Linked DNA regions of Saccharomyces cerevisiae S288C. The gene in region 2 interacts genetically with the main gene of each other region. Each region holds a gene or a part of one and is shown on either strand. Other genes may lie near its edges.

Evidence for each region.
Region 1: of HMRA1 (region 2) and INP52, extra expression of one rescues a mutant of the other (dosage rescue), as found in Saccharomyces cerevisiae (one study listed by BioGRID).
Region 3: of HMRA1 (region 2) and YMR1, extra expression of one rescues a mutant of the other (dosage rescue), as found in Saccharomyces cerevisiae (one study listed by BioGRID).

What each region holds. Positions count from the first base shown.
Region 1 is NC_001146.8:420,444-426,374, reverse strand, and holds INP52 (phosphatidylinositol-3-/phosphoinositide 5-phosphatase INP52), read left to right. Parts: upstream 1-1,879; coding exon 1,880-5,431; downstream 5,432-5,931. Other genes in the region: 2-isopropylmalate synthase LEU4, read left to right, coding at 1-1,480; YEATS domain-containing protein YAF9, read right to left, coding at 5,597-5,931. UniProt on the Saccharomyces cerevisiae protein: Dephosphorylates a number of phosphatidylinositols (PIs) like phosphatidylinositol 4,5-bisphosphate (PtdIns(4,5)P2), but also phosphatidylinositol 3-phosphate (PtdIns(3)P), phosphatidylinositol 4-phosphate (PtdIns(4)P), and phosphatidylinositol 3,5-bisphosphate (PtdIns(3,5)P2).
Region 2 is NC_001135.5:291,852-294,854, reverse strand, and holds HMRA1 (Hmra1p), read right to left. Parts: upstream 1,021-3,003; coding exon 916-1,020; intron 862-915; coding exon 616-861; intron 564-615; coding exon 534-563; downstream 1-533. Other genes in the region: HMRA2 (homeodomain mating type protein a2), read left to right, coding at 1,317-1,676. UniProt on the Saccharomyces cerevisiae protein: Mating type proteins are sequence specific DNA-binding proteins that act as master switches in yeast differentiation by controlling gene expression in a cell type-specific fashion. Silenced copy of A1 at HMR.
Region 3 is NC_001142.9:631,522-636,217, forward strand, and holds YMR1 (phosphatidylinositol-3-phosphatase YMR1), read left to right. Parts: upstream 1-2,093; coding exon 2,094-4,160; downstream 4,161-4,696. Other genes in the region: carbamoyl-phosphate synthase (glutamine-hydrolyzing) CPA2, read right to left, coding at 1-1,420; PXP2 (Pxp2p), read right to left, coding at 4,334-4,696. UniProt on the Saccharomyces cerevisiae protein: Lipid phosphatase which dephosphorylates phosphatidylinositol 3-monophosphate (PI3P). Involved in the control of PI3P-dependent signaling and in the maintenance of endosomal system integrity.

The DNA.
Region 1 (5,931 bases), on a different chromosome or scaffold from region 2:
TCAATGTCTTGTCCAATCTAGAGAACACTTGATTAAGAGAACGGTGGAAGCATTAACAGGTGCTAAAAAGGCTACTATACATACTTACTTGGCAACAAGTGATATGTTCCGTGAAATTGTTTTTAATATGTCTAGAGAGGAAGCTATTTCCAAGGCAGTAGAGGCCACCAAACTAGTTAGGAAACTAACTAAGGATGACCCTTCCCAACAAGCCACTCGTTGGTCCTATGAGTTTTCCCCCGAATGTTTCAGTGATACTCCAGGTGAATTTGCTGTAGAAATTTGCGAAGCTGTTAAGAAGGCTTGGGAACCTACCGAGGAAAATCCAATCATTTTCAACTTACCTGCTACCGTAGAAGTTGCCTCTCCAAATGTTTATGCTGATCAGATTGAATACTTCGCTACCCATATTACTGAGCGTGAGAAGGTTTGCATCTCTACACATTGTCACAATGACCGTGGTTGCGGTGTCGCCGCCACAGAGTTAGGTATGCTTGCAGGTGCCGACCGTGTAGAAGGATGTCTCTTTGGTAATGGTGAACGTACAGGTAATGTGGACTTGGTTACTGTTGCTATGAATATGTATACCCAAGGTGTTTCTCCTAATTTGGATTTCTCTGACTTGACCTCTGTCCTAGATGTGGTTGAGCGTTGTAATAAGATCCCAGTATCGCAAAGAGCACCATACGGCGGTGACTTGGTCGTTTGTGCCTTTTCCGGTTCTCACCAAGACGCCATTAAGAAGGGTTTCAACTTACAAAACAAGAAGCGTGCTCAAGGTGAAACTCAATGGAGAATCCCATACTTGCCATTGGATCCAAAGGACATTGGCCGTGATTACGAAGCTGTCATCAGAGTCAACTCTCAGTCTGGTAAAGGTGGTGCCGCTTGGGTTATTTTGAGATCTTTGGGTTTGGATCTACCAAGAAACATGCAAATCGAATTTTCTAGCGCCGTTCAAGACCATGCTGACTCCTTGGGTAGAGAACTAAAATCAGATGAGATTTCCAAGTTATTCAAAGAGGCTTACAACTACAATGACGAACAGTACCAAGCTATTAGTTTAGTCAATTATAATGTTGAAAAATTCGGCACTGAACGTAGAGTGTTCACTGGTCAAGTCAAAGTAGGCGACCAGATCGTCGATATTGAAGGTACAGGTAATGGTCCAATCTCTTCTTTGGTCGACGCCCTATCAAACTTGTTGAACGTGAGATTTGCCGTAGCAAACTACACAGAGCATTCTCTAGGTTCTGGTTCTTCTACGCAAGCTGCTTCTTACATCCATCTATCGTATAGGCGTAATGCCGACAACGAAAAGGCCTACAAATGGGGTGTAGGTGTCTCCGAAGATGTCGGTGATTCTTCAGTGAGAGCCATCTTTGCCACCATTAACAATATTATCCATTCTGGTGATGTGTCCATTCCATCTTTGGCCGAGGTCGAAGGTAAGAATGCTGCGGCATCTGGCTCTGCATAAGAACTTTTCTGTATTTCAGGACTTATTCGCTTCTATTTATTTCTATACTTATTTATTTACTTCCTTTCCTTTTTTTTTAACCATATAATTACTAGAAGCACGGATGTCTAAATTAGAATTACGTTTTAATATCTTTTTTTCCATATCTAGGGCTAGTGCTTGTTTTTCTTTTTTTAGTATATTCTTGAACCAAATACGTGTGGGGTGACCCGAAACTTGTTTGGCGGTTAGTGACGAAATTGAAACAAACCTGGAGTTATTAAGAGAGATTTAACTGGAAAACTAGGCATAAAGGACAATAAGTACTCGCTTCATATAGTCTCAACATATTTTTGTTCGCAGAATTGGTGACAAAGGCCACGCAAAGGCAGCAGAATCAAAAACAAATACTCAGTAGCTATGAAAATACTCCTATCGAAACAGCAAACTAGAAAGATAGCAATAGTTTCAGAAACACATGGACTGGTATTTAGGCCAATAAACAGTAAGAACTCTCGCAGATCTACATGTGCCGTGGAATTGGTTCCGAAAGCTGAATTAAATGGTAATGGTTTCAGAAGACTATCTAACCATGAAATATACGGTTTTATTGGTCTCATAGAAATTGAAGGCCTTATGTTCATAGCAACCATAACAGGTAAATCTAAGGTGGCCCAGCCGATCCCAAACAAAACGGTTAACAAAATATATGCTGTGGATTTTTTTTGCTTAAATAATTCTAAATGGGATTTCATGGACATCGATTCATCCGGTTATCCGATTGTTACTAATGATGGAGATTTTGCAATAAGCTCGCCTCCTAGTATTTCCACACATTCTTCTAGATCATCGCTACGTTCTTCTTCCTCTAGGAGTTTGAATGCTCAAGAACAAGCTCCCAAGCATCCATGTCATGAACTAAGAAAGCTATTATCAAATGGATCTTTTTATTACAGCACCGATTTTGATTTAACTTGTACATTGCAGAAACGTGGATTCACGGAACACTCTTTGAGTTTTGATGATTTTGACCGGGAGTTTATGTGGAACTCGTTTCTTATGGACGAAATCATCACATACAGAGACAGACTAGATGTAACGGCCAAAGAACTATTGGATCAACGAGGATTCCTCACGACCGTAATCCGAGGGTTTGCTGAAACAATTTTTAGCTATATTAATAGGTTGAAAGTAGGACTTACCATTATTTCCAGGCAAAGTTGGAAAAGAGCAGGCACAAGGTTTAATGCACGTGGTATAGATGATGATGGCCATGTCGCAAATTTTGTTGAAACAGAAATGATTATGTACTCTTCTCAGTATTGTTATGCTTTCACGCAGATAAGAGGAAGCCTTCCAATTTTTTGGGAGCAGGATACATCTTTGATTAGTCCAAAGATTCAAATTACCAGATCTGTTGAAGCAACACAGCCCACGTTTGATGAACATTTTATAAGACTATTTAAGAAGTATGGGCCAGTTCATATAATCAACCTGCTGTCTACTAAATCTTCAGAAATTCAATTATCGAGGCGATACAAGGAACAGTTGAAAAATTCTGAGAAAATGAAAATCGGTAGAGATGTGTTCCTAACAAGCTTTGATTTCCATAGAGAAACTTCGCAAGATGGGTTTGCAGCTGCAAGTAGGATTATCCCTAAAATAAGAAACACAATTTTGGACGCCGGTTACTTTTCATACGATGTAAAAGAAGGGCGATTAATATCCGAACAAGACGGTGTCTTTAGAACCAATTGCTTGGATTGTTTAGATAGAACAAATTTGATCCAACAGACGATTTCACTGGCCGTTTTCAAACTATTTTTGGAAGACTTCCGATTGGTAAAACCCAGTAGTTTCATCGACGATAATGAATTTGTGCAAAAGGTGAATGCTTTATGGGCCGACAACGGAGATCAGATATCACAAATTTACACTGGGACAAATGCTCTGAAATCGTCCTATTCAAGGAAAGGTAAAATGTCTTTTTCTGGCGCCCTTTCTGATGCGACGAAGTCCGTTAGTAGAATGTACATCAACAATTTTGTAGATAAAGGAAAACAGCAAAATATTGACACACTTTTGGGCAAACTACCGCACCAGCAAGTTGTTGAACTTTATGATCCAATCTGCGAATACGTCAATGAAAGGCTGTTAGAGTCAGAGGAAAAATTCACCACTCATTCTAACATAAATTTGTTTGTCGGTACATTCAATGTTAACGGAAACTCTCGAAGAGCAGATTTGTCAAAATGGTTATTTCCAATCGGCGATAAATTCAAACCTGATGTCGTTGTGTTAGGGTTGCAGGAAGTTATAGAGTTGACCGCAGGGTCTATCTTGAATGCAGATTATACGAAAAGTTCTTTTTGGGAAACTATGGTTACTGACTGTTTGAATCAATACGAAGAAAAATATCTTTTACTTAGAGTGGAACAGATGTCCTCTCTTTTGATACTATTTTTTGCAAGATCAGATAGAGCCTATAACATAAAAGAGGTAGGTGGGTCTACCAAAAAGACTGGGTTTGGTGGTATTACTGGAAACAAAGGTGCAGTAGCCATTAGATTCGATTATGGGGCAACTTCATTCTGTTTCGTTAATACACATTTATCAGCAGGTGCGAGTAACATTGACGAACGTCGCAATGACTACAACAATATCTACAGGAACATAACCTTTCCAAGATCAAAGACAATTCCACACCATGATTCGTTGTTTTGGTTGGGTGACCTTAACTACAGGATAACTTTGACAAATGATGAAGTTAGAAGAGAATTAAGGGCTCAAAAGGATGGCTATATTGATAGATTGCTTCAATATGATCAGTTGACTCAAGAAATAAATGAAGGAGTGGTATTTCAGGGCTTTAAAGAACCGACCCTCCAATTCCGTCCGACCTATAAATATGATTATGGCACAGATAATTATGATACTTCTGAAAAGGCGAGAACTCCGTCTTGGACTGATAGAATCATATATAAAGGTGAAAACCTGCATCCATTGGCATATTCGGACGCACCTTTAAAAATAAGCGATCATAAACCAGTTTATGCTGCATATAGGGCAAATGTGAAATTTGTTGACGAAAAAGAGAAGCTTAACCTAGTTGAGAAGCTGTATGCAGAATATAAGAATACGCATCCCGAAGCACTAACTACAGGTCCTGACGAACTTTCTCATGCAAGAATGGAAAAACAAAAGGAAAGTATACCCTTAGATGCAACCGTTCAATCAGCGGGCATAAAACTAATTGACCTAGATGATACTTCCTCGTGCGTTTCGCCTCTACTTTCTGGTCCCAGTCCCCAACCGTCTGTTGTTGGCCCTGGAGGACTCAGTAACGTATCACCCGATAAAAGTAAGCTCAATGTGCTTCCTCCGCCTCCTCCTACCTCGAGGCACAATAAGGAACCATCTTCTAAACTTCTTTCCCCTACCAAAGAGATTTCCATTGTCAGCGTATCGCCGCGTAAAGGTGAGAGCAATCTTCCTGCCTTAGAGAGACACAGTACACCCAAACCACTGCCGCCAGTGCCCGCTTTATCTTTATCTAAGCCAGTCTCTTTACAGAAAAGTTCTTCAGAATTACAGCATGCTAAAGAGACCATAGATAATGGGAAAATTGTTCCTCGACCTTGTCCTCCTATTAGAAGGAAGAGCAGTACTGCCCCGGACGAAATCTCTACATCTACCAAAAATTCAGGTGTGTCCACTACAGAAGATCCTGAGCCAGCAAAGGCCTCCACAAAACCTGAGAAGCCACCAGTTGTCAAAAAACCGCATTATTTAAGTGTTGCTGCTAACAAGCTTAACACCTCTCAAGAACACTCAATAAAAGTTTCCCCGTCGAATTCAAAATCTGAAGAGGAACTCCCTTGCAAGAAAAAGTCTAAACCAAAAGTTCCTGCGAAGAACCCTGAACTAGAGAAGCTAAGCGTTCATCCATTGAAGCCTTGCGACCCCAATTAAATTGTGTTACTAAAATTACGCATTTATAGAATATGTATCATAACTGTTGTTTAGATGTTTATATGACTCTGCACACATTTCGGTTTTGTGAGCGCCGACCTTTCAAACCATGATCTGTATTACTATGGCTGTTATGAAAATACCGTTGTTCCGGGTGCAGTGATCCTAACTTCCGTTAATGGCTTCTTGTTTTACCAAGTTTTCCAGTTTCTGCTTCAATTCGTCAATTTCCTTGTCAACCTTTTCTATGCCGATCTCTATTCTGTCAATTTCTTCCTGTTCTAATTGCTTGGAGTATACACAATCATCAGTTTTGTTTGAAGGTAACAAATTTCCTGGTCGGCTCATTAAAATTTTGAAAAACTCTTCATTTGGCTCATTGAATACAATTTCATCAAAATACACAGAACTAACTTCTGCATCTTTACTATTATGGTCTGTTGTATTCTGCTCATTTCCATTGTCGGAATTCGGTACAGGATTAGCATAAGGATGAAGTC
Region 2 (3,003 bases):
AAAAATTAAATTATCATACCAAAACATGATAAATTATATCGCCATATACGAAAATGTTGGTGACATGTAATCTAAATAATAACTTTATCGCAGTAGAAAGACATATTTCTCTCAAAGTTTGCAAAATTATGTTGATCATAAGTCTCTTCTTATATAAATGTCATAGAAATTAGTATAAGATTAAGAGAAAATGTCACTACATTATATAAACAATAGCAATTGTATAAACACATAGAAATATGAGTATATAAACAAACATTGAGAACAAGAGCAAGACGATGGGGAGTTTCAAATAGGATAGCTATACTGACAACATTCAGTACTCGAAAGATAAACAACCTCCGCCACGACCACACTCTATAAGGCCAAATGTACAAACACATCTTCCCAATATCCGTCACCACGTACTTCAGCATAATTATTCGTCAACCACTCTACAAAACCAAAACCAGGGTTTATAAAATTTTACTGTTGCGGAAAGCTGAAACTAAAAGAAAAACCCGACTATGCTATTTTAATCATTGAAAACGAATTTATTTAGATCTCATACGTTTATTTATGAACTACAAATTGTTAGTATAGGATATATTTAAGTTTGATTCTCATATTACATACCCAAACTCTTACTTGAAGTGGAGTAATGCCACATTTCTTTGCAACTTCTTCTTTTTCCTTGGAATTAAGGCTTTGCTTTCTTCTAAAAACCTGTTCTAAAAATGCCCGTGCTTGGGGTGATATTGATGATTTTCCCTTTGGGCTCTTCTCTTTTTTAATGTGGTGGTATATTTCTAACCTATTGTTAGAAATATTTTTGTGTAATGTATGTTGCTCTACTTTAGTCAAATTACTTTCCATTATAAACTGAAGTATTGTTAGTAAATTGATTCAAAGGCTATCCTTGAAATGAAAACATACATTATAAAGATTATTAGTATTGAGATTGATTTCATCAATCTCAGTACCTAGAATGTTAAACAGAGTTCTGTTTATGTTTTCCGCCATACTACAAATATCATCCATGTTGTCCTTCTTGATTTTCTTTGATATAAGGAGATGTATTGTTTTACTTTTCCTTTTTGGAAGTTTTATACAGTTTCCCCGAAAGAACAAAAATCAAGAATAAAAAGCTCTTTTCTATTTGCTGTAATTTACCTAAGTTACCAGAGAGTGTAACAACAGAAGAAGAAGTTGAATTAAGGGATATATTAGGATTCTTATCTAGGGCCAACAAAAACCGTAAGATTAGTGATGAGGAGAAGAAGTTGTTGCAAACAACATCTCAACTCACTACTACCATTACTGTATTACTCAAAGAAATGCGCAGCATAGAAAACGATAGAAGTAATTATCAACTTACACAGAAAAATAAATCGGCGGATGGGTTGGTATTTAATGTGGTAACTCAAGATATGATAAACAAAAGTACTAAACCTTACAGAGGACACCGGTTTACAAAAGAAAATGTCCGAATACTAGAAAGTTGGTTTGCAAAGAACATCGAGAACCCATATCTAGATACCAAGGGCCTAGAGAATCTAATGAAGAATACCAGTTTATCTCGCATTCAAATCAAAAACTGGGTTTCGAATAGAAGAAGAAAAGAAAAAACAATAACAATCGCTCCAGAATTAGCGGACCTCTTGAGCGGTGAGCCTCTGGCAAAGAAGAAAGAATGAGCCCGAAAAACAAATATGTATATATCTGTGTAGAATATATATATATATATATTTCGCAAAAATACATAAACAATCAACCCTCTCCTCAGACACTACTAAGATGTTTGTACTGATAGATAATGTCCTCGCCTACCTTCTTGAACAAGATGGATAGCTCTGGTAATTTCTAGATTTGTATATGACGATAAAATTTTTGTTTTTCGGAATCGAGAATCTTCGTAATGCTAAGTATAAATTTGTAGTTTTAACAAAAACCAGGAGTACCTGCGCTTATTCTCAAACGTATTAGTAAGTAATAGGTATTACTTCAAAAGGAGTCTTAATTTCCCTGATTTTAGTTTAGTACATGATCTATTGCTTTCAAATATTTTTATGGAAGATTAAGCTCATAACTTGGACGGGGATCGTTCGTATTTTATGATGTATTGATAGAATTAAATAAAACGTTTCTACTTTTTTTCAAGGTTGATGGGTTTTTGCAATATAATAACATTTTTTATATTTAGGTATTAAATTGCGATTTAAAAAATCAAACATTGTTTAATAAAAAATTGAAAACACTGATAGAAAAAGTAAACAAATAAATATATATATATATATATATATTGATACTATTTATAAAATTATTATTGAAAAGTTTTGTTTGCAAATGTGGACGAAAAGAAATGCGATTTAGCTTATATTTCATGATGTGAAGGATTATTTGACCTTTCTATATGCAATAAAAAGGGTACAAGATACGTAATGTTAAAACTTTTTTGCACTGAAACTACAGTTTTTTTAAGTACTAGTGGGTTAGAGATTTGCAACTATTTTCTTCTTGTATGATATTACCGATACAATACTACAAAATTATTTGTACACGCTTTGGGGACATCATGTATAACAGCGATAGTGCGAGGATTTTATAAAACTTTAAATTTTTTTTAGAGCAAGTTCGTTTCCATAATCTTATATTATATTTTAACAATCTGTTTGTACATAAAATTCAAACTCCTTAAGTTTTTTTTATGTTGACGTAGTGGATTACGATCTAGCCTATATACAACAAGGTAGTAAGTTTAGTAAGTTTATTGGACCCTTCTATATGTTATGTAAATGTAAGAATTACATAGTTACCTTTTTGTACATAGAAACTATAGTTTCTTAAGTACTACCGGATTAGAGGTTTGTTATTATATGTTTTCCTTGTGTAAACATATAATAGCAATACTGAAACATTACTCGTATTATGCTTTTGGGTTATCACGTTCAACAAGGAACTCTACCAACTCTAGTTTTAAATTGATTATTAAATGGATTGGATGTCGCGAAGCATTACAATAAG
Region 3 (4,696 bases), on a different chromosome or scaffold from region 2:
ATTTATCAATTTTACTCAATTCATTAACTCTCTCAACAGTATAGTTTTCATGGATTAAGGCCTGACCAATGGCAAGGACTCTTCTATCAGTTGGAGTTCTCAAGGCTTCATCAAGTTGATCGCCGAATTCAGTAGAACCTTGGAATCCCAATAATGATGGATCCACCTGTCTTAATGCTTTTTGAAAGGCTTCTTCATAGTTTCTACCAATAGCCATAACTTCTCCAACTGATTTCATAGAGGAACCAATGGATCTGTCCACGTATTGGAACTTAGAAAGATCCCACTTAGGTATTTTTGCCACAATATAATCCAAAGATGGCTCAAAGTTAGCCACTGTAGTTTTTGTGATTGGGTTTGGCAATTCTGGCAAAGTATAGCCTAGCCCAATTTTGGCGGCAGTGTATGCTAAGGGATAACCAGTGGCCTTAGACGCCAATGCAGAGGAACGAGATAAACGTGCGTTCACTTCAATAACTCTATAGTCTAGCCCATCAGGTTGCAAAGCGTATTGGACATTACATTCACCAATAACACCAAGGTGTCTAATGATTTTAATTGCGGCGGATCTTAACATATGAAACTCTTCATCTGATAGGGTCTGCGAAGGAGCAAAAACCATAGAATCACCAGTATGAACACCAAGTGGGTCGAAATTTTCCATATTACATACTGTAATACAGTTACCAACCCTATCTCTGACCACTTCATATTCAACTTCTTTCCAACCTTTCAAAGATTTTTCAACAAGAATTTGTGGGGCCAACGACAAGGACTGTGCGGCAAGTTCCTTCATTTCACTTGCATTGTTAGCGAAACCTGAGCCTAACCCACCCAAAGCGTATGCAGATCTGACAATAACTGGGTATTTGACCCTTTCAGCAGCCTCCAAAGCTTCATCCACGGTTTCACAAGCAAATGATTCTGCGATGGGAATGTTGATATCCTTTAACGCAGATGCGAAAAGATCCCTATCTTCAGAAGTGATCAAAGTTTTGATAGGAGTACCTAAAACTTTGACGTTGTATTTAGCCAAAACACCAGATTCATCCAGAGCCACCCCACAATTTAGACCTGTTTGACCACCGAAGGTTAAAAGTATAGCATCCGGCCTTTCAAGTTCAATGATATATGTGATGTATTCTGGTGTAACGGGCAAGTAATAAATCTTGTCCGCCAGGGAATGAGAAGTCTGGTTAGTAGCGATATTTGGGTTAACCAATATAGTAAACTTGTTATCTTCCTTCAGAGCTTTGATAGCTTGAGAACCACTGTAATCGAATTCACCAGCTTGACCAATAGAGAGCCCTCCTGATCCAATGACAAGTACAGAATTTACTCCTTCAACTAATTGAGGTTTGTAGTCCTCGGTAGTAAAAGCAGAATTCGTAGGCTCTGTTGATGTATAAATCGATGTCATTCTTTTCTTCCTGTCTATGTACTGTATTGCTCTTCCTTTATAGAACTAATTTTAACTATAGATGTTAGTTTTTCGATGCTTAAACTTAAATAGCGCTTCAAAAAAGAGATAAGGCATACTATAGAAGACGTATTAGTAATTATATATATACAAATAGCATGGCAGAAATGCTTATGACGGAAAAAAAAAGATTGGATTTTCTCGATGCTTACTCAAGGTGACACAATCGTTACGACATGGAGGTTCCTATCTCTGATATTCAAAAGTTATTGCCATCTCATCAATAAGAGTCATTCACAATAATCTATAGAATGCCGCAGGAAAGAAGACAGTGGTGGATGAGTCATTTTCTCAACCCTAGTTTACAATCTGAATGTTTAGGGGATTTACTATTTTTAATTAGGACATTTGAATATTTCTGATAGGGTAAAATCACTTTTTAGGGTTTCTGATTTTCTATTTTCCTCATTTTTCACAATAATAACAATGTTGCCATTCTTTTATCACTACCCTAAATGTACCAAATATTAGTAAGAAAAGAAACATTATAAAGAAAAGGAGGTTTTACAAGGGTCACTTGGTGAGATTAGGTCGTCGTTATTATTTTTATTTTGTGGGCGGGGTGTAATAGTGCTAAAAAGAGGGAAAAGAAATAGTATACCATTCCGCAAAGATGGAGTACATCAAGATTGCCAAAGTATCTAATGTAGTGCTGCATAGAAGAGGTACGGCCACACAAGGTACTTTACATTTGACTACTCACCATTTGATCTTTGAGTCACCACAATTGTCGACGGAATTTTGGTTTCCATATCCTTTGATCTATGGAGTGCATAAAAACCCGGGTAGTACATTACTGTCCAAGTTGACTTCCACTAATCAAATCCAATTGGAGGGAACGGATTCACAGAATTACAAGCTTTACCAGGGTAAGGATCTATGGTCTTTTGTAAATATCAAGGTAATTGGGAAAGATTATGCGGTATTCTCATTGGATTTCGGTGGTGATTTACATCTACAGGCAAGAAAGGTGTATGATTCCATCTTAAATTTGACGGTCCTGTCCAATATCACGCAACTATATGCATTTATTTACATATCCAACAATCTGGAAAGGAAACTACCTTCACCCGATAGCTGGGATATATATGACCCAATTAAGGAATTTCGAAGGCAGGGCCTCGACAGTAAAGATGAAACATGTCCTTGGAGGCTATCCACGGTAAACGAACACTATGAATTTTGTCCAACGTATCCCTCAAAACTTTTTGTACCAAGATCCACGTCAGATATATTATTGAAGCATGCTTCGAAGTTTAGATCACAGAAAAGAATTCCTGTTTTAACTTATCATCACAAGGCAACAGATTGCAACATTCTTAGGTCATCTCAACCATTACCGGGGTTGATCAATCAGAGGTCCATTCAAGATGAAAAATTAGTTTGGGAAAGCTTCAACTCATTTTGTAATAAAGATATTAGAAGAACGAAACATGTAATAGTAGATGCCAGACCCAGAACAAATGCATTAGCACAGATGGCGTTGGGTGGCGGGACAGAAAATATGGATAATTATAATTTTTTTTTAGCTGATAACAATATGGGTGTCGATAAAAGTCTAAAACTGCCCACAGTTACACGGTTATTTCTTGGTATAGATAACATTCATATTGTTTCCAACACAGCTGCATACATGACGGAAGTTATCTGCCAAGGTGGCGATTTGAATTTACCACTGGAACAGAATTTAATTAGGAGTCAAAAATTTTCCAATTGGTTGAAGTTGAACACTCTTATTTTAAAATCCGTTGATATGCTTTTAAAGTCCATCATTTTCAATCATTCCAACGTTTTGGTTCATTGTTCTGACGGTTGGGACAGAACCAGTCAAGTTGTATCACTATTAGAAATTTGTTTGGATCCTTTCTATAGAACTTTTGAAGGTTTTATGATCCTAGTGGAAAAAGATTGGTGCTCTTTTGGTCACCGGTTTTTGGAAAGAAGTGGTCATTTAAACTCTGATATTAGATTTCATGATAACACTATGCATTCCAACTTCAACGATGTGGATACCAATGGCGATGATCTTGACATAGGTGTTAACACTCAAGACGATTATGCTGAAGATGATGAAGGAGGTGAAGATGAGACGAATTTAATTAATTTGAGTAGAATTTCCAAAAAATTTAACGAAAACTTTAAATTGAACAAGAAAAGTCTAAAGTTCGTCTCCCCAGTTTTCCAACAATTTTTAGACTGTGTATACCAACTTTTGACGCAAAACCCAGATCTATTTGAATTCAACGAAAGATTTTTAAGAAGACTAGTTTACCACTTGTATTCATGCCAATATGGAACATTCCTTTCCAATAGCGAGAAGGAGAAATTTCAACAGAATTTGCCAAACAAGACTAAAAGTGTCTGGGACTACTTCAGATCTAGAAGAAAGCAGTTCATAAATCCAAATTTCATACAGAGAAAAAGAAGCGGCATGAATGAGCACGATCAAAACCTTGAAGAGGAAGAAAAAGTGGAGTGGATTTCGCCGGATCTGAAGAAAGTCCAATGGTGGTGGCAGTTATATGGAAGAAAAGATTCAGAAATGAATGATGAATTACGCCATAAACGAGACTCAGTACCCATATCGGTGGATAAAAAGAGTAAAGAGCATAGTAATTCCGATGGCGGTAAGGGTTTAAATTTGTCAATTTTTGGATTTGATATGTTTAATAGAAAGTGATCTGGTTAACGGCAAAGAAGACAAATAAGTGAGTTAGTATTTTGCATACAATGATAGAAGTATAGAAAAGTTCAAGCATTTCTCCGTTGTTAGTATACATATATATATATTAATTTTAATGAATAAGGGTACATATATTATGAGCATAACGAGTGGCCGATCGGCAAAGGGGCTTACAATTTTACAACACCAGATTTCCAACTAACACCACACCACTGAGATATTAGTATAGCCAATCCTCTCACTGCCTCCACAGTTTCCTTATCACAACCAATATTCAAGGCACCTTTCAAATGCCCACGCAATTGAGGATTAACATCTTGTGGAACCAAAGAAGCAATTATCACTAAACTTGTCTCTTGCGCAGATAGTATCTCATCAAAGGCAAACAAAGGGCCATATACATGGACCAGTGTATAATACCATAAGTCTGGGTACGAAGAGTTTAGATTGTTTACCACGCGGGTTGAGACTTTGTTGTATATTGAATTCCAATGCCGTAAGCCGTTCTGTATGGTATGATCTCTTTCCTGGAT